Linked DNA regions of Elephas maximus indicus. The protein of the gene in region 2 interacts with the protein of the main gene of each other region in a biochemical or structural test. Links are inferred from orthologs where the notes say so. Each region holds a gene or a part of one and is shown on either strand. Other genes may lie near its edges. The genes, in order: MAPK11, ATF2 and MAPK13.

Region 1 (8,133 bases), on a different chromosome or scaffold from region 2:
GGAGGTGTCCATCCTCAGGCCTGCCTCTCACCCGGCCCCCACCACGTCTGGTCCTCCCCCACCTATAGCACTCCCCCAAGCCCCACCCCCCCACCGCCATCCCTCCCACCCCCCCGCCTACCCCGCCCCTGGCCCTCATTTTTGTTTCCCTTAGTGGAGTTCGGGCCTGCTCGGGTTCCCCGCGGTGCCTCTCTCCCTGCATGGCTTCCTGGGGGCGGGGGCCTTCCCTGATTCCCCCAGGCCCCGACTGTCCCCTCTTCCTGGTGGGCGGTCTCTAAGCACTCACCACCTTCCCAAACCCGCCAGTAGTCGCTCCAGACCATTCAATCGCCCCCACCCCAGGGGCCTCTCCAGCCTGCTGGCATCCGGGGGCGCCCAGTGTACGTCTGCTGAGGCCTACGAGAGGGTCCCCACTCTGCCAGGCCGCTGAGTCCTGATCTGCCCTAACCCCTCACCGCCGGGATTCTGGGGGCGCTGCGGGGGCGGGGCAGGCGGGGTCTCCTCGGGCCGCGGGAGGGATTGGGGGATAGGAGGCGGTGCCCAGCCCCCATAAGGGGCGAAGGGCGGTGCCCGGCCACAGTGCGGGGTAGGGGCGGGGCCGGTCGCCATGGGAACGCACACACTGGCGGCTCCCCTCCCCCGCGGGTGGCCTCTAGGCCGCAGTTCCCACACCCCAGAGGCCTCGGCTCCCGCCCCTTTTTCCTCCTTTAGCTGAAGCTCCATTAACTTTGCACAAAACCTCTGCCTGCATCCGCCGTTGGTGAAAGGACCCCTCATGGCGGGGGCCTTTTCAGGGAGGCCCCGCGGGCTCGGGGTCGGAGAGTGGCGTCCTCACCCCCCCCAACTGCAGCGCGCCCGCGCCAGGCCCTGGAACAGATACCCACTCTCGGAAGAGAAACTGAGGCCCAGCATGGCTCAGGACTTGCCCAGGGTCACGGACAGTGGCCGCGCGGTGCAACTCGGACCCCGCAGCCTTTGTCCGCATCTCGCCCGCCCCACGTCTGGATTCGCCGGGCACTTGTGTTCGTTTTCCTCTGTACCGCGTTAACATTTTTTAATTTGGTTGCCAATATTTGAAATTCATAAGATTTCACACAAAAACTCGGATTTGAGCTTCTTTTGAAAAAGTAGAAGTCTGGGCAATTGGGGCCTGAATTCCACTTCCCTGGGAACAGGATCCCCCAGCACCCTCACTGGCCCCCAGGGTGGAGGTCAGGAGCCACACGGAGCAAAGAGCTTCTCCGAACTCACGTTATTTTTAAAGCGGGAAACAGAAGTAGACTGAGGCCCAGAGCGCCAGAAAAACGCTGGCTAGAACGTTTGGTGGACCGGCGAACACACTCACCTGCCCCGGGTTAAAGCAGGCTGTAAGAACTAAACCCTGAAGGCCACGCGAAGGGACCGACCGGCCCTTACTCCCGTCACCTACTCTGCGGCTGCGAGGGCTGAATTCGAAGCCCCTGCAGCCCAGAGGCGGATTGCTCACTCCCGGGAAAAGCCAGGGAGCTTCCTGAAAGGTGGGAAGGAGGTAGAAGACACCAAGGAGGATGATGTATTTAGGTACCCTCCTCGTAGGCACAGCACCCCAAACGCCCCGCCCCCTCGAAGCCGCTGTCCCTGGTCCTGACAGAGCTGGTCCCTGGGCCCCGGCGGTCACGCCTCTCCCGGGCCAACCCGATGAGCAGGAACCCCTGCTGAGGGCCGACAGCAAGCCATGGAAGGTTCACCAGGAGAGGAGCCACAACCACCAAGGCCAGAGCTTCCCCCACGGGAAGGGAAACCAGGCACTGCCATATGCCACCGAGGCAGTGGCCCTGTCTAAGGGCCTTTTTGGTTGATTTTTTAAACAAGACACCTAGTTTTTAAGTAGTATCTCCTTTCTTCTCGATAAGGAGCCCTGGTGGAGCAGTGGTTAAGAGTTTCAGCTGCTAACCGGAAGGATAGCGGTTCCAACCCACCAATCTGCAGGAGAAAGATGTGGCAGTCTGCTTCCTCAGAAACCCTATGGGGCAATTCTACTCTGTCCTACAGGGTCGCTGTGAGCCATGATCGACTCCACGCCACACAACAACAAACTTTCTTGATGAAAAATCTTTCCCAATGCTCACCCCTGGCTTCCTCGATTTTGACAGTTCTCCCTGGTTTCTGAGGGTAACACTGGGGAGACTCGGTGCCCACGCCTCACCTTCCCCGTAAGTGTGGCAAGGGGCAGGGCAGGTGGCAGGAGGTGAGGACAGATCAAGGGGAGAAGAGATAATGTGGGATCCGGGGCTGGAGGCAGGCGAGGTTTCGGGCAGATCCGCATCGGGGCCCCAAGGCTCCGCTGACCAGGGAGTGCGGAATCCGAGCGGGATAGGGGGTGCGGAGACCCAAGCAGGCTGAGGGAGATGCGGGCCACAGCAAGTTGGGGGAGGTGCAGGCCACAAAAGGCTGGGTGATGCGGGGACCCAAACAAGCTGAGGGGTACAGGAACCCAAGGGGGCTGGGAGGCATGGGAACAGGCTGGCCACAGCAGGCTGTGGGAGGTGCGGGCCACAAACGTCTGGGGGATGCGGGGACCCAAACAGGCTGCGGGGTTGCGAAGATCCGCGCGGGCGGGGGGTGCGAGGAGAGGCGGTAGCATCGGCCTGGACAAGGCGGTGCCCAGGCCGGAGACAGGACGCGGGCGACGTTTGGGGGAAGCGCGAGGCCCCAGGAGGTAGGAGGGGACCGAGAGAGGAAGCCGCCCCCCGCCCTCCCCACCGCGGCCGCGCGGGCCCGCCCCCGGCACCGCCCCGGGCTGCGAGGCCGCCCAGAAGGGGGAGGGCAGGCGGGTTTCCGCCCGACCGCCGCCTCAGAGGGGCAGGAAGCCGCGCGCTGGCCCGAGAATCCCCCCCGCCCCCGGCCACCCAGCCCGGGAAACCCCCCGCCGGTCCCGCCCCACCCACCGCCTCCTCCTGCCGCCCTCCGGCTCCTCCCGGGCTCCGGCGCGCGGCGCGGGGCCAAACTGGGCCGAGGAGGCAGCTCCGGACATGTCGGACCCCCGCGCCGGCTTCTACCGGCAGGAGCTGAACAAGACGGTGTGGGAGGTGCCGCAGCGGCTGCAGGGGCTACGCCCGGTGGGCTCCGGCGCCTACGGCTCGGTCTGGTAGGGGCGGGGCGGGGGTGGGCGGGGTGGGGGCGGGACGGGGCCGAGTGCGCCCCCTCCCCCCCTGCGGGGCCCCGGCGTGGGGAGGGGCCTCGCCTGCCCCCGCCCCCGGCCCGGCGCCGAGCGGAGGAAGGAATGGGGGGCGCGAAGGAAACTTTCCTCCCAGAGGCCGCTCCCGACCTGGGCGGGGGTGTCCTCTGGCTCAGCACGACCCGGAGCGCCGCCACCCCGGCCCGGATCCTGCGAGAGGGTGGGTTTCCCGAGCCCCTGAAGGCCTGAGCACGAATCTGACGTTCCCTGAGTCAAGGGTCTGGCAGCCCCCAGGGTCTGCAGACGGCCCCCCTGCTCCCCGGTGGGTGTTTTTGTTTGAAAAGGGGCAGCCCAGGTGGGAAAAGATGAAGACCTCCGCCCTTAGGCCGGTCTCAGGCTTCACCCGCGGGCCCTGCCCCTCCTCCTTTTCCGGGGGGATCAGGCTCCGGAGTAGGGGCTTAGGCCAGAGCAGAGGGGATCTGCAGCCACGTATTTCTGCCCCAACCAAGGGAGCTCAGGTGATAGCCCTGCAGCTGGACCCTGAGGCGTCCAGCCTGGGGCCCTGTCAGATGGTCGAGTCTGCGTGGGGCGTCCGGGACGCCTGCAGGCCTCCTTCCCCTGGTACTGGGGTTTGGAGAGGACTTAGGATGAGGTGGTTACAGGGAGCCCTGAGGCGATGTTTAAATGTTGACAGGCTGAGGCTGATGCTTGGGTGTGGACGTTGAGAGATGCGCCCCAGCACCCAGTAGGGTCTTTACCAGCGCTGCTGCCAGGTGGCTGCCGTCCACTGGAGGGGGAGGCAGGGGCCACGAGGGTGTGGCGGGTTGTTGCTCCAGGCTCTTGCAGACCGTTAGGAGGGGCAATTCCTCGTAGCTTCTTGGAGTCAAGAGCAGAGGCTTGGGGTCCGCAGGCTGATCTCACTGGTCCTTGCAGGCTGTCAGGAGCTTCGGGCAAGCCATTTCAGCTGGTTCAGCCATTCCAGCCTGAGGCCTCGGTCTTCAAGGGCAGGGGGAGGGTCTGGGACAATACATGAGTGCATCCGGGGGACCTGCAGAGCCACACTGGACTCACCTCTGCCCAGGGAATTGTCAGTCTGGGAGTTGGGGAGGAAGTGGATTTCTCCTGCTGCATCTCGGGCAGTGTTTGCATGGCCCCGGTGCAGGGGGATAGCCCTGTCCTGGGCTCTGCTGGTGCAGGCAGCAGCTGGGGATGGGGTGCGGACTCCTGTCAACTCCACTGCGCAGACGCAATCAGACAAAAGGGTTTGCTGCCAGAGATGAGGGGCCACTTGCCTCATCACCCCCCCCACAGGTGCTGGGACCATTGTAGGGTGGGTCATAAGCTTGAGGGGGCATGGATACCCCAGGCACCTGACCAGCATCCCTGTACCACCCCCCCCACCACCACTCTGATCCCCCATGAGCATGGAAGCCCTATCAGGACAGCCTGAGGCTCCATTCACTCTTCCTGAGGATAGGGGGAGGGAGCCCAGCAGACAGGAAGTGAAGCTGGAGGGAGGGAAAGGAACAGGCTGTGCAAACCCCTCCATGCCTGGGCTCCAAGCTGCGTTCAGTAGTCGGGTCCTGGTAGTGAGGACAGTGGGGACCATGGATGGGTGGGCGATGACCCTGTCCCATTTGTGTTTGAGGACTGTAGCAGGGACTGCTGTGTCTCAGGTGGCCTTAGGCAGGTGAGGGGCTGGTGCCAGACAGTCTGGACCTGTGGGGAGTGGGGTTGGGCAAGCTGACATGTTCCGTGTGTCCAGGCACCACTCTCGGCTGAACATTTCACATCGTCCACTTTTACACTGTTAAAAATAATGATGCAATAAACACCTTTGACCAGTTTTCCCTCCATATCTTGAATATATTTCCAGGACCAGGGCCCAGAGGAGGTGTTGAGAGTCCAGGGGATTTGGGGGGGAGGTCTGGGGAGCCTCCCAGAGCCCATGGGGCCATGAGGGACGGAGAGGAACGTTTCCTGACATGTCATTTGCACGCTGGCTGGCGGGGGCTCTTCCTGGGCCTAGCACTGCGTTGGGGGAAGAGTCCGTGGGCTGGGAAGCAGGAGGCGAAAGAACCGAGTCCTGTGGTGGGGCCCCGGGTAGCTCGTTCTGCTGGTGGTGGTGGGAGCTGACCCTCCTCTTGAGGAGGGAGTAGGTGTGGACGGGACGCAGAGGAGGAGGGCTTGTCCAGCCACACGCCAGCCAGCCCAGCTCTCGCCCCGACCCTGCCGTCGGCAGCCGGCAGAGGCCCCGCCCGAGGGGCTCACGTCTGAGCCAGGCCCCGGGATGGGATGCGGGGAGCGGGGCCCGGCGCAGCGGAGGGGCCAGGGAGAGGCGCTCAGGCGGCCGGCGGCTCGGCGCCCGGCCCGGCCCTCTCCTCCCGGCTCCCCGCGTGCCGGCCTGGGGCGGGGGGCCAGGGCTGAGCCCAGACCCGTCGGCGTGGCCTCACTCGCCCGCCTTCCAGCTCGGCCTACGACGCGCGGCTGCGCCAGAAGGTGGCGGTGAAGAAGCTGTCACGCCCCTTCCAGTCGCTGATCCACGCGCGGAGGACGTACCGCGAGCTGCGGCTGCTCAAGCACCTGAAGCACGAGAATGTGAGCTGGGGGAGGGCCAAGAGGGCGGGCGGACCAATGGGGCCGGGGCGGCCTGGGGGCAGGCCAATGGGGGCCTGGAGCGCTGTGGGGGCGGAGCGCCCTGGGACGGACCAATGGGGCGGGGAGCGCCAGGGGGCGGAGCCACCGGGGCGCGGCGGGCCTGGCGCAAGGGGGGGTGAGTGCGTCCCTCTGAGGCCTCGGGGGCGGGGCCACGATAGCCTGGGGGCGGGGCCAACGAAGGGACCGCCCTAGGGTGGGGCTACGATGGTCTGGGCGTGGCCAAAGGGGCGGGGCCTGGGCCGGTCGGGGGTTGCCCAGGGGCTGAGCCGCACCCCCCAACCCCAGGTAATCGGGCTTCTGGACGTCTTCACTCCGGCCACGTCCATTGACGACTTCAGCGAAGTGTGAGAGCGAGGCGGGTGCGGCGGGGCCTGGGGAGCGCATTCGGGGAGGCCGGCGGCGGCGCTCTCTCCTGACCCCTGACCCCTACCCAGGTACCTGGTGACCACCCTGATGGGCGCAGACCTGAACAACATCGTCAAATGCCAGGCGCTGAGCGACGAGCACGTCCAGTTCCTGGTTTACCAGCTGCTGCGCGGGCTGAAGGTTCACTGCTGGGGAGGAGGCTCCGAAGTCCCTCCTCGGTGGGGGGCATGGCGGGGTGGGGGAGTCGGGAGAGGGGGCGGAAGGCGAGGCTCACCGTCCTGTGCTCTTCCCCTCCCCCGCAGTACATCCACTCGGCCGGCATCATCCACCGGGTAGGTGCGGGTGGGCAGGGTGTCCTCGGTCCTGGATGTGGGTCCTCTTGAACCATGCTGTCCACCTGGCTCATGGCTTCCTCGCTGCAGGACCTGAAGCCCAGTAATGTGGCAGTGAATGAGGACTGTGAACTCAGGGTGAGGGGCCACGAACCAGAGGGGCAAGTTGGGAGGGGAGGGCGGAGGCAGCTAGTGGGTGCTGACAAGGTTTTGCTGTTGTCCCAGATCCTGGACTTTGGGCTGGCACGCCAGGCCGATGAGGAGATGACCGGCTATGTGGCCACGCGCTGGTACCGGGCACCTGAGATCATGCTCAACTGGATGCACTATAACCAGACAGGTGCCTGTCAGGGCCAGGTGGGAAGGCAGAGCTCACGGCAGGGCTGAGAGGTGAAGGGAGAGCAGGGGAGAGACGGGCTATGGACCCGCATCAGACACAGGCCTTCAGAGGGGCTAGACAGGTGCCTGTCAGGGCCAGGTGGGGAGGCAGAGCTCACGGCAGGGCTGAGGGGCGAAGGGAGAGCAAGGGGAGAGAGGGGCTATGGACCAGCATCAGACACAGGCCTTCAGAAGGGCCAGACAGGTGCCTGTCAGGGCCAGGTGGGGAGGCAGAGCTCACGGCAGGGCTGAGGGGCGAAGGGAGAGCAAGGGGAGAGAGGGGCTATGGACCAGCATCAGACACAGGCCTTCAGAGGGGCCAGACAGGTGCCTGTCAGGGCCAGGTGGGAAGGCAGAGCTCACGGCAGGGCTGAAGGGCAAAGGGAGAGCAGAGGAAGTGGTGCCCAGCCTTGGAGGAGAGACGGGCCGTGGACCAGTATCAGACACAGACCTTCAGAGAGCCCTGAGCCAGGGGTCAGGGGCGTTCCCTGGCTTCTGCAGCCAGCGCTAACCCCTCCCCCTGCCTACGGCTGAGAATAGAGGGAGAAGAGTCTGACTGCGTTTAGGCCTGGGGGTCTCCTGGGCTGCTGAGGTCCAGGAGCTCCCCAAGGAGGGACTTGGGGTGGGCAGACTGATGGAGGCCTCCCCCTCAACAGTGGACATCTGGTCTGTGGGCTGCATCATGGCAGAGCTGCTCCAGGGAAAGGCCCTCTTTCCAGGGAATGATTGTATCCTTGTCCTGGTTGGGGAGCAAAGTTGATTTGGGGTCCCCACCTGCCTGGAGGCTGGGGACAGGGAGGGAGGTGGACTCTGGCCCTCCCTGGTTGGTCTTGCCCACACTGCCCCCACTTTGCACCATGGGCTCACTGTGTCCAACTGTAGGAGAACAGGTTCTGGGCAGTGTCCCCAGGCCTGGGTCTGGGGGCTTAGGAAGGTCCAGGCCTGGCCGGTGGTCATTTCCTGAGCGAGGCAGACATTGACCAGCTGAAGCGAATCATGGAGGTGGTGGGCACGCCCAGCCCTGAGGTTCTGGCAAAGATATCCTCTGAGCACGTGAGCCTGGCCCCTCTGCTGACTGAGCTTAGGGCATCTGGGGAGGGGGACACAGAGTGGGAAACAGGCTGGGCTCTATATGGGGAGCACGGGCCACTGAAAGGTAGAGTCCGACCCCTTCGGGGATGAATGGGTGCGAGTGGGGAAGACAGTCCTGCACAAGGTTCTGAAGGCACGGAGGCAGGCGAG
Region 2 (8,133 bases):
CCAGCATATGTTGTTTTCTGTTTTTGTTTTTTAATCATAGCCATACTAGTGAGGGTGAAGTGGTGTCTCATTTCCCTAAGATACTGAGCACCTTTTCATGTGTTTTTTGGGCATTTGTATATCTCCTTTGGGGAAATGTCTTGTCTTTTTTATATATACAAAACCAAAACCTATTGCCACCGAGTCAATTCCAGATCATAGTGACCCTATAGGACAGAGTAGAACTGCCCCCATAGAGTTTCCAAAGAGCACCTGGTGGATTTGAATGGCTGACCCTTTGGTTAGTAACTATAGCACTTAAACACTATGCCACCAGTGTTTTCTTTTTATATATGTTGTTGTTGTTAGGTGCCATCGAGTCGGTTCTAACTCATAGCGACCCTATTTACAACAGAACAAAACACTACCTGGTCCTGCACCATCCTTACAATAGTTATGCTTGAGCCCATTGTTGCAGCCACTGTGTCGATCCACCTCGTTGAGGGTCTTCCTCTTTTCTGCTGACCCTGTACTTTGCCAAGCATGATGTCCTTCTCCAGAGACTGATCCCTCCTGACAACATGTCCAAAGTATGTAAGATGCAGTCTCACCATCCTTGCTTCTATATATTAAACTGGATATTAAACCCTTATTTATATATGGTTATATATTTATATATGGTTCCCAAAAAATTTCTCCCCAAAATCCTTACAACTGGACCAATTGGCAACATCATGATAAATGGAGAAAATATTGAAGTTGTCAAGAATTTTCATTTTTCTTGGATCCACAATCAACACCCATGGAAGCCGGAGTCAAGAAATCAAACGATATACTGCATTGGGCAACTGTGCTACAAAAGACCTCTTTAAAGTGTTAAAGGGCAAAGATATCACTTTGAGGACTAAGGTGTGCCTGTCCCAAACCATGGTATTTTCATTCAGCTTATACACATGCAATACTGGACAATGAATAAGGAAGACTGAAGAAAAATCGATGCCTTTGAAGTACTGTGTTGGTGAAGAATATTGAATATACCATGGGCTGCCAAAAGAACAAACAAATTTGTCTTGGAAGAAGTACAGTCAGAATGCTCCTTAGATGTGAGCATGGCGAGACTTCGTCTCAAGTACTTTGGACATGTTATCGGGAGGGACCAGTCCCTGGAGAAGGACATCATGCTTGGTAAGTAGAGGGTCAGAAAGAGATGAAGACCCTCAACGAGATAGATTTACACAATGGTTGCAATGATGGGCTCACTGATAGCAACAATTCTTAGGATGGCAGAAGACTGGTCAGTGTTTCCTTGTGTTGTACACAGAGTTGCTGTGAGTTGGAACTGACTTGACAGCGCCTAACAACAACTCTTCACTTTGTTGATAAAGTCCTTTAATGCATAAAAGTGTTTAATTTTGATGCTGGGAAAAAGGAGCCTGAATCAGTTCCACTTACAGCTTAGTAAAATTTCAACAAACACCGCTCAGATTAAAAGCTTTTTCGTCTTATCCTCTTTCCCTCTTTAGGCATGTAGGGGATTTGGGGGTAACTACCCGGGGCAGTTCTACTCTCCTATAGGGTCGCTATGAGTCGGAATCGACTCGACGGCACTGAGTGTGGTTTGGTTTTGACCCAATTCCGTCTCTCCCAAACCTCAGCTTAACCTAAACTCCCCTTACCATAGCTTTACTCACGTCTCCACCATGGGCCAGGAAGTGACAGCAACGAAAACTACCCGGTTCCCAGGGCTGGCAACTCACCGGCTTTCTCTCTCCTCACTCGCAGCCTTTCCTGAACTCACCTCTTCTCCCTGCACACCACTAATCCCCTCCGAGACCTCAACCGCCACCTGCTCCCGCGCCCGCTAGCTGCCAATCACAGCCTCCGGCAGCTCCAGGGTTACTGAGAAATCGTTAAGAACTCGGCTGCTAACCGATAGGTTAGCGGTTCAAACCCACAAATTGCTCCGCGGGAGAAAGGTGTGGCAGTCTCTTTTGGAAACCCTATGGGCCAGTTCTACCCCGTCCTATAGGGTCGCTACGAGTTGAAATGGACTGGAAAGCAACGGGTTACTGGTCTCTGTACTCCCGCCCCCTCCAGAACTGCTTCCCGCCCTTCGGTCTCCTTGTCCAATCACCAGTGCCCGAGTGTTTTTGGTTCCCGCCCCCTCCATCCCCACCCTTCTGAGTCCCGCCTCCTTCGTCAAGGCTGACGGAACCACCTGACCCGGAGTCGCTCCTTCCGAAGGAAGGCAAGAAGGGGCGTGCGCGTGGAGGGGAGGGGCATGAGAAGAATGGGGAGGATGCCGGGAGTGGGGCGGGGAGAAGGGTTGTCAGTCCGATCTCGCGAGAGAGGACGGAAGCCTGTGGGAGCCCGTGGCCTTTAAAGTACGGTTCAGCCCTTTCCTCCAGGGGTGGTTTGTAAACACGGGGCTCCGGGCAGCCGAAGGGCGCATGCATTAGTGACCTGGAAAGGTGAGTAGTGATGGGGAGATTGCTGCAGACTGGAGACTGTGGGGTACCGAGAAAGAAGGCGCTAACATGGCGACGTCGCTCACCACAGTCCCCACCCCCCGCTTCCCAGCACCTGGGGCGCCCCTGCCTCCGTCCCTAGCCCTCGGGGCGACTGTGGCTGTGCTGCCACCTCAGCAGCCTGCCGGCGTCGGCTTCAGGAGGCTGTCTAGCCCGGCCGGACCTTTAGGTAACTGGCGTTCGTTGTTCCGGCCCCTCCCCGCTCGCGCGCTTTCCTAACGAAGAGGAAAAAGAAATAACGGCTCCTCTCAGACCCCTCCCTCCGATTTATCTTCCCCTTCTTCGGTCGGCTCGGAGGCTCCTGGAGCACAGGTCGGACCTGCCGAGGGCGCGGGGAGACCTCCCTCGGCCCTTAGCTTGGGCGGGAAGAGGGTCGGCTGTGGTCTCCCCACCCAAGACCCAGCGGCCGGGACTATTTGTATGTGGGGTGTGGAATGGGGAGTAGATCGGCATGTACGGCTGAAAACAGGGTCTGGGTCCCTGCCTGCGGTGAAACCTGATGGAGCGAATGGTATGGTGAGCCTGGGAATTAGGAGGCCCGGCCTTTTCTGTCCTTTCTGCCACCCTCACACACTCGCCACCCCCCTCTTTTTCCCAGTGGGGCGGGGCTGAGGTGTGGGTGCGGGTTGATTCTGGCGTTTTCCCCCATTTTTTATCTCTCTGGGTGGACACCAGAGCTTCTGTAGGGAAATAATCTGTGCTGTTTATCGATGCCCCAGGGACCAGGACAGAAAGAGAGATTGTGTGTGTGTGTGTGCGCGCGCGCTCCCGTGTGTGTGTGTGTGTGTGTGTGTGTGTGTGTTTGCTTGTTTTCTACGCACGCTGGTGGAACCGAAGCTAAGGAGAGGGCGGAAGAGCTGGGGATTATTTTTGTGGTCTTAGGTAGTATAAAGGAGCTCTGGTGGAGCTCGTCTGCTAACCAGAAGGTTGGGGTTCGAACCCGCCAGCCAGGAGGAAGATGTGGCAGTCTGCTACCGTGAATATTTATTTACAGCCTTGGAAACCGTATGGGGCAGTTCTACTCTGTCCTATAGGGTCGCTATGAGTCCCAGTCGACTCCATGACAGTGGGTTTGGTTTGGTGGGTAGGTAGTAAAAAAAAAAGTCTTTTTTAATAGGGAGTCTTAAAACTGGTGAGGCGAGAGTAAAACTACTGTGAATATGATGGAGTGAAACACATTACTTAGACCTATTCATTTATTCCTAAATTATAATATGCAAGTAGTTTCTTAGTAATCTTAAATTACAGAAACAGTAACAATGCATACTATTAATGTATTTGAAGTCAGAACAGAAACTGTTTCTCTGAGCACACTTTTTGTCCTATATGAAGAAATTCATAACCATTGACATTGTCAGTGGCAGCAGTTCCCCCTCAGAATCTTTAAATAACCGTATAACCTTGGTCTATTGAACCAAAATTATGAAGGTGCGACTTTATTGTAAGAAGTCAACCCTATGTGGGTTAACTGCCCTGAATTACAAATACAGTAGCAGTTATATCTTGTATTTAAATTTGTCACACTGACTTCAGGCATCCTCTGTAAACACTTTTTTCAGAAATTGGAGGAACATCCTTTCAAGTTTTTTTTTAAAAAACTAGATGCCCTTCTGCAGATCAAGAAAGTTCATGGACCTTGAAGACCTTCGATAATAATCAAGAATCCTTAGCTTTGTAATATAATTTGTAAGAATCTTTCAAGTTTACAGTGGTGTGTATATTGCTTATCGGGTCGCTATGAGTCGGAATGGACTCAACGGCAGTGGGTTTGGTTTGGTTCGGGTTTGTGTGTTGCCTAAGGAGGCCTGGCAGTGAAGTGGTTAAGCACAAGGCTTGCTAACTTTAAGTTCTGGGTTCCTGTGCACCAGCTGCACCTTGGGAAAAAGATGCGGCAATCTGCTTCTGGAAAGATTACAGCTTTGGAAACTCTGGGGCAGCTCTGCTCTGTCCTGTAGGGTCACTATGAGTCGGAATTGACTGACTGGACGGCAGTAGGTTTGGTTTTTTGGTTTCGGTGTGTTGCCTCCCTAACAAATCTTTAATCTTGCTTTGAGAGGATGCCACTGCTATTCTTTTAAAATTATTTAGAATATAATGTTGTAATTAAAATGTAGGCATTTTGTATTTTAATTGTCGGTAAGGAAGGCGCTTTCAGGAACTTTTCGTGTATATGTTTTTAAGGTACGCAATGCCTTATACAGATTTTATTGCATTTGCTGGAAATCTCTTTAAATACCATGTTAGAATGTTTATTTGGTATTTGGGCCACTATATTATGTATTAAAAATCATGCAATCCAGAAATTCTTGCATTTACTTTTTTACTTGAAGTATTTGTTTCTTATTTTTAAATTAAGATAACAGTAGAAATAGTTACCATGTCAGCTGTTTAATAGATAATTGGGGGGATTTATTGGTATTTAGAGTTTGGAAGCTGTAGTAGTATAACATAAAAATTATATGCTATACATCGAACTTCTAACTAGCATTAACTCTCAAGAAATCATCCACACTTTTTCTATCTAAATTTTTATATTTTGGAAAAGTTGGGTTGTAATGATTTATATGTCCTCTGCTGGTATAGGGTCACAGAGTCGGAATCGAGATGACAGTGGGTTTTTTCTGCTGGTAAATTAAATTCAAGGATCGTTTTAGATCAGGGGAATAATCCCACCGTGCATACTGTTTTCCATTTTGCCTTTGAGCTCTTCATTCTGATATGAAATCTGCCTTTAAGCTGGCACTTCTTTTTTTGTGTGTGTGTTTTTGTTGAAATGTCCTTAGAGAGGATAAAGTAGTTGAAGTCTTTCTTACTTAAAACAAAATGTCCACCAAAACCTCTCAATTTAAAACAAACTGAGTAACAGTTTCAAGAATTATTGGATATTCAGCTGATCCTCATAAAAATTAATAAATAACAGTACTAGTTACGCTATTTTTTGTAATTCAAATGCACCCCTAAAAGCCTTTGCATTTTATAAAAAAACAGTTTAATTTAGTAGTTTAGTGTTTATTTTATATGTATTCAGTGAGGTTAAGAACTTGTCTAAAATGCATCATATTCTCTTTATATAATTTTTAATGATCAGGTAGTCATTATTAGATAATGTCCATCAATTTATATCTAAGAGAAAACCCCACAAAACATTTTATTTCATTTTTTCTGTTTCTCAAGCACAAGGTTAAAAAGTTGGAGTAAGGTATAATTTCATTAAAAATTTATTTTCATTTTTAAGCATGTTTAGTGATGCTTTTTTTCCCCCTTGGCATTTTTGTCAATAGAAAAATAAATGATGTGGTAAAATTGTAGTAATTAAAAATTCCCCCCCCCAACAAGAAAGGATATAAATAAACTGCTTTGGGGGCTAGGCCTGTTCATTCATGTCTACATTCTGTATCTTAACAAAGACAATTGGCAACCATTTTTCTTCTGCCTTGATGCCCAAGGAATAGAAAGCACTCCCGAAAGTAGTAGTGGCTTATTACCACTGAGATCCTCAATGAAATTGGTAGGAAAAGATGGTGGGAATGATTGTAATTGGCAAAATACCAAATGTATTTTGGTTCTTTTGAAAGTCTGTGGTTGACTTTGTCTATAATATTGGCCTTAAATTTGTAAATATGTTCCCTAAATATTCTTTAATTTACCTAATTGAACCTAAACTCTGTCACTGTAATTTAATGGCTTTGTTCTTCCAGTTTATTTATTGAGCAGCTATTATAGCAGTGTAACTAGAAATCAACTTCAGTTTTGCCATACTAACTGTTTTCATTATTTTTCTTCTATTTTGTATATATACATTATAGTGTTTACAGAATTACAATGTAGCTTTATGTTTTTTTAAAATAGTATCGGCATTTTCCCATGTTATATAACATTTACAATGTCTAACGGTTTTGCAATCACTCACCAAATGATGTATTAAATTTGCTCAATTTTAAATGCCCAACAGGAGAGTAGTTATTATCAGTTTTTGTATATTTTAACATTGAATTGAATATCATTTAGAAATAATATGGCCTACCCCTCCTGACATACTTGTGCTGCAGTTTGAAGGCAATATAGCAACCACCTATTTATTTCGCAGCCTTAGGAAAGTTGGGTTTTCCCTAGGAACTGTAACTTGGGGTGGAACTTATAATTGTAGATTTATCATAAATCCATGTGAAAGAATATCTCATAGTTGTGGTCTGTATATGCCTCTTCCCCTCAGAATTTTTCTATATAAAACTTGAGCAGTACAGCATATTCATATTTTGCGGTGATAAAATTGTGATACTGTAATTTCCATAAAATCTTCTACGATAGATAAGTACATTTTATATATCTACCTTGAACAAAAGTAATGCTGTGAACATTATATATATAACACCACTACCAAATCTAAAATGCTATTAATAAAATGTCCATTGATACGTTAATATTCATAACCATTATCTGTAAATTATTTGTATTTTTCTATTATAATTTTAAATTATAAGACAAGAACTTGCTTACCTTATACCTAGGGATCAGAGGTCTGGTAATAATCAAGACTCACTTAAAAAATAAAGTTTAACTTAAAAATTTGGGTTATTGAATTTTTATTAAAGAATATTTTGAAGTATTGATCTGATTTCATTATTCACCTACTCATAACATACTTTCATGAATACAGTATTGAGAAAAGTCTATGATGCTCTTTATGTTTTGTATCAACTTTAAAGAGTTTCATCAGAACCTTAATGTACTCTTAGAGTTGTAATATGTGTGAAGGGCATCTGTCATGTCTATTGTGAGTGGGGAAAACATTAAGAACTGCTGCTTTTCTCATTAAAGCTGGGCTTATCTTTCTCACTTCTGAGAACTTTGATTTCCTTACATTGATGAATGAACTGAACGTTGTGTACCAAATAAACTTACAAATAACATCAAATCCGTGGGTTAAAGATTAGTGTAAAAATCTTGTCTAAAAGTTAAATTAAATATGCAGTTCTTAGTTTCTAATTTTAAAAATAAACAAATTGATAAGATTAGACATTAAGTAAGCATTAGGAAAACACATGTTTAAAGCCAAAGTAAAATATGCCAAAACTTAGAAGAAACTTAATAGATGATACTAGAGTGCCATGTACTGTACTATGCATTTTACATATATTTGTTTTCATTTGTTCTTTTTGACAACCAGTAAAAACGGTGCGGTGGCGTCTGACCTCCTCTAACTTCACAAGGACAAGGAGAGCAAATCAAGATCAGCAGCCCAAGGCTAATAATTCCTATGAGGTGGAGGTCAAACATACCTCCACTCACCAAACTTTTTACCAGTTCTGACACCAGCCATCTCTCCCATGGTACTCTCTACTTCTCTACTGGGTTCGATAATTTATTGCACCAGCAGACAGAACTCACAGACAATACTCACAACTGTGAGGTTTATTAGGGATGTGACAGGTTACAACTCAAGGTCAGCATCAACAGGCTACAACTTGGGTTCAGGATCAGGAAGCCTGTAGGGAAAGTCTCCCTTCTTCAGTGCAGGACAGCTCTCTCCGTTCCTCTCAACCATGCAGGCCTTCTCTCAGCCTCCTCAGGACAGGGCTCCCCTCTTGGCCCTTGGACCCTGGCCCCATTCAGGCCTGGTCTCTGC
Region 3 (8,133 bases), on a different chromosome or scaffold from region 2:
ACCTACAACTTACTGAAGTCTCATCGTCCTGGAACCACCTTCCGTTGACCTTGCTTCTTCAAGCAACCACCCTTTTTCCAAACTCTTTTCCTTTCCACCAAACATCTAGAAAAGGTGGTCCATACTCTTCGGCCCCACCTTTTTAACTTCCAAACCCAAAACCCATTGTCACTGAGTTAATTCTGACTCATGGTGACCCCAGGTGTGTCAGAATAGAATTGTGCTCCACAGGGTTTTCAATGGCTGTAATCTTATATAAGTAGGTCACCAGGCCTTTTTTCGGTGGTTCTCCTGGATGGATTTGAACCACCAACCTTTCTGTTAGTAGTTAAGAGAAACCATTTGTGATACCCATGGACCTTCCCCCTATAATCTAGCTTCTGTTCCTGCCCTACCGCCAAAACAGTTCAGATCTAGGTCACCAACAGGTCGGATCAAGATACACCCATAGTTCCCATTTTTCATATTTGACCTTGTGCAAAGTCTGACACTCTCTCAAAGATCTCTGCCGATTCTCTCATCTTACCATGTTCTGCACTTACCTCTTCCTGTCCCTAGCCCAGACCTTCCTCTCCTGAGTTCTAGATTTGTTTGCAACTGCTGGTTAAATGCTTGAATGTTCACAGGCTCTTCAAAAGTGAACTTCTAAAATAAAGTTCGTATCTTTCCCCCAAGACCAGTTCTTTCTCCTTGTATTCCAAACAGGAACCTGGGTATCCCCCCGCCCCCTGCCCCCGGCCATCTCAATCAGCCACTGCATCCCAGCAGATACAACATTCTGCCCCACATGGTTCTCAAGTCTGCTCTTGGCATCCCATCACCTCTACTTTAGACTAAGGTCTCCGAGCTGCTGCCTGCTCCTTTCTCACTGCTGACAGAGCTGTTGTTGTTAGCTGTCATCCAGTCAGCCCCTGACTCATGGTGAACCCATGCACAACGGAATGAAACACTATCCAGTTGTATACCATCCCCATGATCAGTTGTAGATCAGACCATTGAGGCCTATCAGGTTTTCACTGGCTGATTTTCAGAAGGAGATAGTAGGCCTTTCTTCCTAGTCCATCTTAGTCTGGAAGTTCTGCTGAAACCTGTTCAGCACCATAGCAACAGGCAAGCCTCCACCAACATGTGGGTGGTAGCTGGGCATGTGGTGCATTGGCTGGGAATTGAACCTGGGTCTCCTGCACGGAGGATGAGAATTCTACCACCAAACCACAATGCCTCCTGCTGCCAGATAGCATCCCCAAATCTGAATGAACTATATCACCTCCCTGTTCAAAATCTCCATGGACTTGAGGCTGCCTGTAGGATCAAGTGTGGACTCAGCTTGACTGAACCAGCCACCGGTGTCCGCTCACCACGCTGTATTTCTCAAAATTGCCCAGACATTCCTTTCTCTTTCCTTCATCTCAGCCTTTGCCCACACAGTTCCTTCTACCTCCAGCCCCTTCTACCTCAGGCAAACTTCAATTCATCCTTCAGGACTGAGTTCAAATGTCACTTCCTCTGTAATGTCCCCTGAAGCAGCACATAGTCCCCAGAATTCTGCTCATACCTAGAGCACTGACCACACTACTGTCATTCTTCATTTAAAAACTGCCCGCTGTACCCTCCATCCCACCCAACACATGGTGCCTTGAGCAGGGGCTGGTGCTTGGTCCTGGTCCGCTTTGAATTCCCAATGCTAAGCCCAGCAATTGGCATTATAGGAAACAACTCAATTCAAAAATATTGCATGAAATTTAAAACAAAAGCATGCTAACAAAGAGGCCTTCAGTTGCATTGAAATAGAATTAAAAAAAAAAAAAAATCCACCTTCCTAAAGGCTTCGAAATCTTAGATCAGGCACTGCATTAGTGAAGCTATAAAGTTAGTAACTATATTTTCTGGCTCTGGGTAATTCTGTCAAATACCTCATTGGCCAGAGGTGGCCAAGGCTTCCCAATCCTCGCTTTATGCTAGAAGGAGCCCCTAGGTTCAGACTTGCACCTGGGCCTCTGGTGAATGGCCAGGTGAGTTGCTACAAACCCTGTGAGGTCTGACAGGTATGTGTATGTGTGTGCGTCTGTGTGCGTGCGTGTGTGCGTGTGTGTGTGTGTGTGTGTGTGTGGTGTTAAGGCTGGGTAACTAGCAACGCAGCTTTTCAGACAGCTCCAGGCCCAGTAAGCACCCTACAAAGCCCCTCCTACCTCTTCCTGCCTGCCTTCCTCTCCTCCCTTGGCTGAAAGAATCTCTTCAGAGAGAATCACACCTTGATAGCCCAGATGCACAGGGCAAGAGCACCCTCCCACTCCCACCCCAAGAGAGAATATGGATCCTCCCCCAACTGGCTCCTGAGTGGCAAGAGGGACCTACAAACGCCCCAGAGCCCAGTGCAGTTGACTCACAAGTCATGGAAGTTGCGCAGGGAGGAGGCTGGGGTGAAGACATCCAGGAGCCCAATGACCTGGGGAAAGGGTCATCAGTGAGAGCTGAACAGCAGATGGCCTCTCCTCATCCCTCTTGTAGGGCTCCAGCCATACACAGGACCAACCACCCTTTCCTAATACACCACCTCCAGCAGGAGGTAAGCCCCCAGGCTTCTTGGGAGAGAACTTGCAATAAACAGTGATGAAGAGTCAGGCTGGGGAGAAGGGGAGGGGGACGTTCCTATGCTCATTGCTCCCAAATCTGGTCTTCAGGGCAAGCAGCACAAATCCAGTCTCAACTCAAGCAGGGACCCAAGGGTGACAAAGGGTGTAAAGGAAGGGCTGGGGAAAGAGCCTTGCTACATGTATCCCTGCCTGCCACAGGGCTGGTTTGGAACTAGGGGCAAGATCACCCCTGGCTGGAGGCCAAAGGGGATGGGTTTGCTGAAGAGGGAGAGGGCTAAAAAATGTGCACAATATTTTGAAATCATGATTTTGATTGTTTGCCCTCCAATCTAGGTGTCCTGGAGCAAAACTTGGTTGTGAGGCCCAGCACTGGGTCACTGGTTTTCCTAGACATTTCTATCAGATGGGACAGGGTAATGGTTATGCACTCAGGCCTGGAGTCAGGATGCTGAGGACCAAATCCACTAACTAGCCATATAACCTGTGAGCTTTTCTGTGCCCCAGTTTTCCGATCTGTAAAATGGGAGCAATATTACTTGTCTCATGTGGCATTATGAAGATTAAACAAGTCAGTTTATGCAAAGCTCTTAGAACAGTGCCTGACACATAGTAAGTGTTCAGTAAGTATCCACTATTATTATTATTGGAGTCCTGGTGGCAAAGTGGTTAAGAGCCCAGCTGCTAACCAAAAGGTCAGCAGTTCAAATCCACCAGCTGCTCCTTGGAAACCCTATGGGGAAGTTCTACTCTGTCCTACAGGTTGCTATGAGTCGAAATCGACTTGACAGCAACGGGTTTGGTTTTTATTATTATTATCTGGGTCATCCATGGAGACAACCGTAGCTAAGAGTCTAGTCCCAGCTGGCCACCTGCTCTCAGGCCTAGGACAAATCACAAAGTTCCTCTGTGCCCATTTCCTCATAACAGTGAGACTGTAGTTTGTACCTTACAAAGCCCATTCTGCTCCATTGCCACAACTACTCTTCGCACTCTTTCTGGGAATTGAGCAGGGCAGGTTCTGACGTCCCCATTTTTATAATGAGGTGAGGAAAAGAAAGCTACTGGGAAGGGGCGGTGTAGCAGGGAGATTTCCGGTCTCTGGGCCCCGTCCTGAGCTCTCCGTACTCTCTCAGGCCGTCTCCAGCACCCACCCAGGGGCCTGCCCGTAAGCACCCCCCGGGCCCAGCCTACGTTCTCATGTTGCATGTGTTTCAGCAGCAACAGCTCCCGATAGGCCCGCTTGGCAAACATCTCAGACTGGAAGGGCCGACTCAGCTTCTTGATGGCTACCTTCTCCCCTGACCGCTTGTCGATGGCAGAGCTGTAGGGACACAGGCAGGTCAGCTGGAAGCACCCACCTCAGATCCAGGTAGTACCTCCCAGGTGACTCCGGGGATCCCAGGAGGTCCTCCCTCTCCCACTCCTTCATCCCCATCGTGGGCTAGGCTGGGGAGGACATGATGCCAACCACCTGGAATGTGGGGGAGCAGCAGGAAGCACAATGAGGTGTACTGCACTACAGCCAGACATGTGTTAAGGTGGACAAGGTCAGGTGCAGGGCGGGAACCTCACTCTCCATGCAACTGGGAGTCACGTCCTCCTCTTTGGGCCTCAGTGTAGCTAGCTCTAATTCAACCCAGAGAGACCCACACAGCCGCCCAATGAGAAAAATGAGATGGCGCTATGTCGCCTCTGACACAGCCTGGGGCTTCTCCCTCATCCTCCACTCTGCAGTCCAGCCTCCCTCTCCCTCCCAGCTCCAGGAAAAGCCCCTGGGAGGGCCTTCAAACCCTCAGGATGCTGGGCCTTGGGGGTCCTAGGTTAAGGTTGTGGGTATCCATCCCAGAGCAGCCAGCAGAAGGGGACACCTAGGGCCAGCCCGAGAGTGCAGACGGTGAAGCGGTCCAGGCCCACGCTTGTGGGGAGGCTCCCCTCGCGTCCCAGTGCCTAGGCGCCCGCCCACCGTCCGCCCCGACGGTCTCAGGCCCCCTAAGCCCCCAGCGGCCGCGCAGGCCCGAGGGTCTCACCACACGGCTCCATAGGCCCCGCTGCCTACGTGCGTCGGGGACACGTAGGTCTTGGGCAGCTCCCAGGCGGTCTTGTTGACGTCCTGCTTGTAGAAGCCCTTTCTCCGGGTGAGGCTCATCCCGGGCACCCAATGCGGAAGACTCAGCTTGGCGGCTGCGTTCGCGGCGCGCCGGGCTCCCAGAGCCCGGGTCCCCGCTCTCGGTCCCGCGCCGAGCCCGCCCCGCGCAGCCCGCTCCTCCCCCCGCAAGGGCGGGGACACCGGGCCCGCGACGCGTCCCACCTGCCGGCGCGCCCAGGTGCACAGGGCGCGGCCACTCCCGGGCCTGCCCCGACAGCCCTGCGCTGGGGAGGCCCATGTTTGCGTGCAGCTGTGAGAGTGCGTGGCCCTGAGGACAGACAGATCCCGAAGCGGCAGGTGCGGGCCACCTGAACAGACTCGCTGTCCTGCGGGAACCGGGAGCTTCCAGGTCGAGGGCGCGGGGGCGAGGATTTGAGGACCAGAGGGGCTTCCACGTGGGGCGGAGGACTTGGAAGAGGGGGCCTTCTAGCTCCCGTACAGCCGGGACTCTAGGAATAGCTCGCCGGGAATTTCGGAGACGATTTCAGATAAAAACAAAACTGTTTATTATGGAAAATAGCAAAATATACAAGAGTAGACAGAATAGCCCGGTGCTTCTCACGCTTGAATGTGCACACGAATCCCCTGAGAATTTTATTAAAATGCAGATTCTGGTTCAGTAGGTCCGGGGTGGGGCCGCAAGTCTGCATCTCCAACCAGCTCCCAAGCTCAGAGGGCCTCTGGGCCACGCTGGGAGTATGGAGCTCTGATGAACTCCATGACCCCAATCTCTCAGCTTTAACAATGACATCAACTCATGGACAGTTTTATCTACAAGCCCTTCTCTCAACCCCATTATTTTCAAAGCCCAGGCATCATATTTCATTCATAAATATTTTTTGTATCCCTAAAAGATAAGGATTATTTTTAAAAACATAACCTCAATATCATTTTACACTTAATAACTGTAGCTCCATAATATCAAGTATCCAGTCTAGGTTCAAAATTTCCGGTATCGAGCATAGTTTTTGCTGGCTCCGGAGGGCAATTACAAACCAAGGCTTTCTGCCACCTATGTCTGGTGGTTTGTGCAGCCTGAAGATGATTTCTGGGCTGAAATTAAATCACAGAGGCCCCTGAGGACCAAAGGGGAGGTCTCCGGATGCCTTTGCCTGGGACACCTCCCCTGTCCCAACTTGTCTGACGCACGGTGGCCTGGAGATGGGGGTGAGGAAGGAGTGGGGACCACTTGCTCCACTTTGTTGAAGGGAGAGGAGGGGTCTTGAAGATGGAAAGGAACTTTCCATGGCCTTTAGCAAGCTGGAGATCTGCACTAGGCGATCTGCAGGCCCCAAACCCAGCCCCACAGCCTGTCCCATAAAGACCGGCTTGGCCTTCCTTGCCCAGGCACCACCTGGAAAATCATTTCCGGGCGAGGGATCTGACAGAAATGCCCAACAGGCATTTTAGGCAGGAAATTGATCCTATTCATCTTTGGCACGCAGTAGGACCAATAAATGTATGGAGAATGAAAGGAGGAGTCAGCCTATTAGAAATGAAAAAATATTTAATAAACACTTGTTTGTCATGTGCCAGACATTGCTCTAAGTGTTTTACATACACAGCTCACTTAATCCTGGTAAGAGGCCTATGAATCAGTACTGTTATTATCCTCATTTAGAGATGAGCAGCCTGAGGTACAGAGAGGTTAAATACCTTGCTCAAGGTCACACAGCTGGTACGGGCCAGAGCTAGGTGAAGAAGCTAGTACAGCCTGGTTCGGGAGCCCCTGCTCTTGACCACGAGGGTTTGCAGGGTATGCAGGTTGAGACAAGAGGCATTGCTCTTTTAAGGAAATGTCCTGTGTTTCAAATAATCTGCCTCGCCAGCATCAAAGGACGGGTCTATAGGTCAAACCATATCTCTTCCAGCCCATCCTGCCCTGGGGTATCTGACAGGTTCCCTGCCTTCTTCCCAGCCCCATCCCCCTACTCCAGCCTTGGGACCCTCTGGGAGGAGAAGGGATTGCGAGCCTGGGGGCCCTGCAGGATGTCAGACCTTTGGGGTTGATGGTGCCAGAGGAAGGCACTTTGTTCCTGAAGCTGGGCAGTGTTAAAAAAAAAATCAACGCCCAAAGAAATTAAAATATAGGATTTACCTTGAGCAGTTATTGTATACGCATATAGGGAGACCATCCTGATTTCTAAAAAAACAAATGACTCAATGTAGGCTAGTTACAATGAAATTTATAAAGAGAAGAGGAAGGAGAATAGAAAATCAACCATTGGCAAATCTTAGCGTGATTGATTGAACCCTGTCCCCTCTACTGAGATCAGCTGACATCAGGTTGCTAGGTGATCTCTGGCCTTGGTAGAGGGGCGGGGAGGGCCATCATTTGCACAAATGTTTAGGTGTAGTCCAGAGGTGTTCAAATGATAAAAATTACCTCATCTCTCAGGAAGGAAAGGGAATTACCTAAAGTTACTTTCTTTTTTGCATTAGACAAACCCTGACCTACCTGTGGTTAGCAAATGTCTTTATCACAAAGGGGTTTGCAAAGATTTTATCACTGTCCTTATTATTAACACTCCTTTAAGAAGCTGGAAAAACCCAATTTAATAATTCAACAGTTTTGGGGGGTCAGGCTTTTACTGTTAACTTTGGACTCAAGGGTAAGATAAGATGTCTGTTATTCATTTTTTTTTTTTTTCCATAGCAAGGTCCCGGAAGCCAGAGCATAGAGCTGGGGTACAGGCAAAGGAGAGGTGTCTGGAGACTCAAGCTTCCTTCTAAGCTGGGGATCCAGTTGTCCAGGGTAGGGAAGGGGCTGGGACTTGGGCCAGACCTTGGGATGGAGGATAAAGAAGGTGTGGCTGCATCCTCTGGGTGGTGTCTTGAGAACCTGAGCATGGCAGGGAAGATCCCACCCAGCAGGGTGAGGAATACCAAGAACATGACTGTTGGCCAAGTGGGTGCAATCCTGAGAGACACAAACCTGCTACTCTGGCTGTAGCTCTGGACACCTCTTGAGCAAGGGCCAGGAAGTGACTCAGGCCTCAGACTCCACAGACACTGACCCCCACCTTGGGCCTGAGGAGGGTCCCTCCCCCAGCTCGGCCTGTGTTTACTGAGCAGCCAGATGGCCTCAGAGGGAAGCACTTTGGAGGACCCAGTCCAGGAAATCTTGAATGGGGGAGGAAGAGGATGGATTCACTGAGGACCTCCTGGATGCCCTCCCTCCCACAGTCCACCCACTCTCTCCTCTTGGAGCTCCAAGGCCCCTTTGCTCTTTTGCTCCCCAGACACCGACCCAAAGTTGTCTTGTTGGTTTCTGCCCTATTCACACTGAGGCAGGAGCTTAAGGAACCAACCTTGGAATGAGACCTGAATTTGCATCTGGCTCTGCCACTTACCAGCTTTGTGACCCTGGGCGAAATGCCTTCCCCTCTGTGA

The links.
Region 1: of the proteins of ATF2 (region 2) and MAPK11, one has a biochemical effect on the other in vitro, tested with the Homo sapiens proteins (4 studies listed by BioGRID and IntAct). The link is inferred for Elephas maximus indicus from reciprocal best matches to the Homo sapiens genes ATF2 and MAPK11.
Region 3: of the proteins of ATF2 (region 2) and MAPK13, one has a biochemical effect on the other in vitro, tested with the Homo sapiens proteins (2 studies listed by BioGRID and IntAct). The link is inferred for Elephas maximus indicus from reciprocal best matches to the Homo sapiens genes ATF2 and MAPK13.

Annotation. Positions count from the first base shown.
Region 1 is NC_064822.1:196,616,573-196,624,705, reverse strand, and holds the start of MAPK11 (mitogen-activated protein kinase 11), read left to right. Parts: upstream 1-2,900; 5' UTR 2,901-3,011; coding exon 3,012-3,127; intron 3,128-5,625; coding exon 5,626-5,755; intron 5,756-6,100; coding exon 6,101-6,159; intron 6,160-6,249; coding exon 6,250-6,361; exon of another isoform or gene 6,362-6,369; intron 6,370-6,455; exon of another isoform or gene 6,456-6,483; coding exon 6,484-6,513; exon of another isoform or gene 6,514-6,603; coding exon 6,604-6,651; intron 6,652-6,717; exon of another isoform or gene 6,718-6,738; coding exon 6,739-6,853; exon of another isoform or gene 6,854-7,547; coding exon 7,548-7,619; exon of another isoform or gene 7,620-7,864; coding exon 7,865-7,944; exon of another isoform or gene 7,945-8,133. UniProt on the Homo sapiens protein: Serine/threonine kinase which acts as an essential component of the MAP kinase signal transduction pathway.
Region 2 is NC_064824.1:73,232,125-73,240,257, reverse strand, and holds the start of ATF2 (cyclic AMP-dependent transcription factor ATF-2), read left to right. Parts: upstream 1-2,315; 5' UTR 2,316-2,450; intron 2,451-8,133. UniProt on the Homo sapiens protein: Transcriptional activator which regulates the transcription of various genes, including those involved in anti-apoptosis, cell growth, and DNA damage response.
Region 3 is NC_064819.1:99,810,752-99,818,884, reverse strand, and holds the start of MAPK13 (mitogen-activated protein kinase 13), read right to left. Parts: upstream 4,860-8,133; 5' UTR 4,741-4,859; coding exon 4,622-4,740; intron 3,916-4,621; coding exon 3,786-3,915; intron 2,447-3,785; coding exon 2,388-2,446; intron 1-2,387. UniProt on the Homo sapiens protein: Serine/threonine kinase which acts as an essential component of the MAP kinase signal transduction pathway.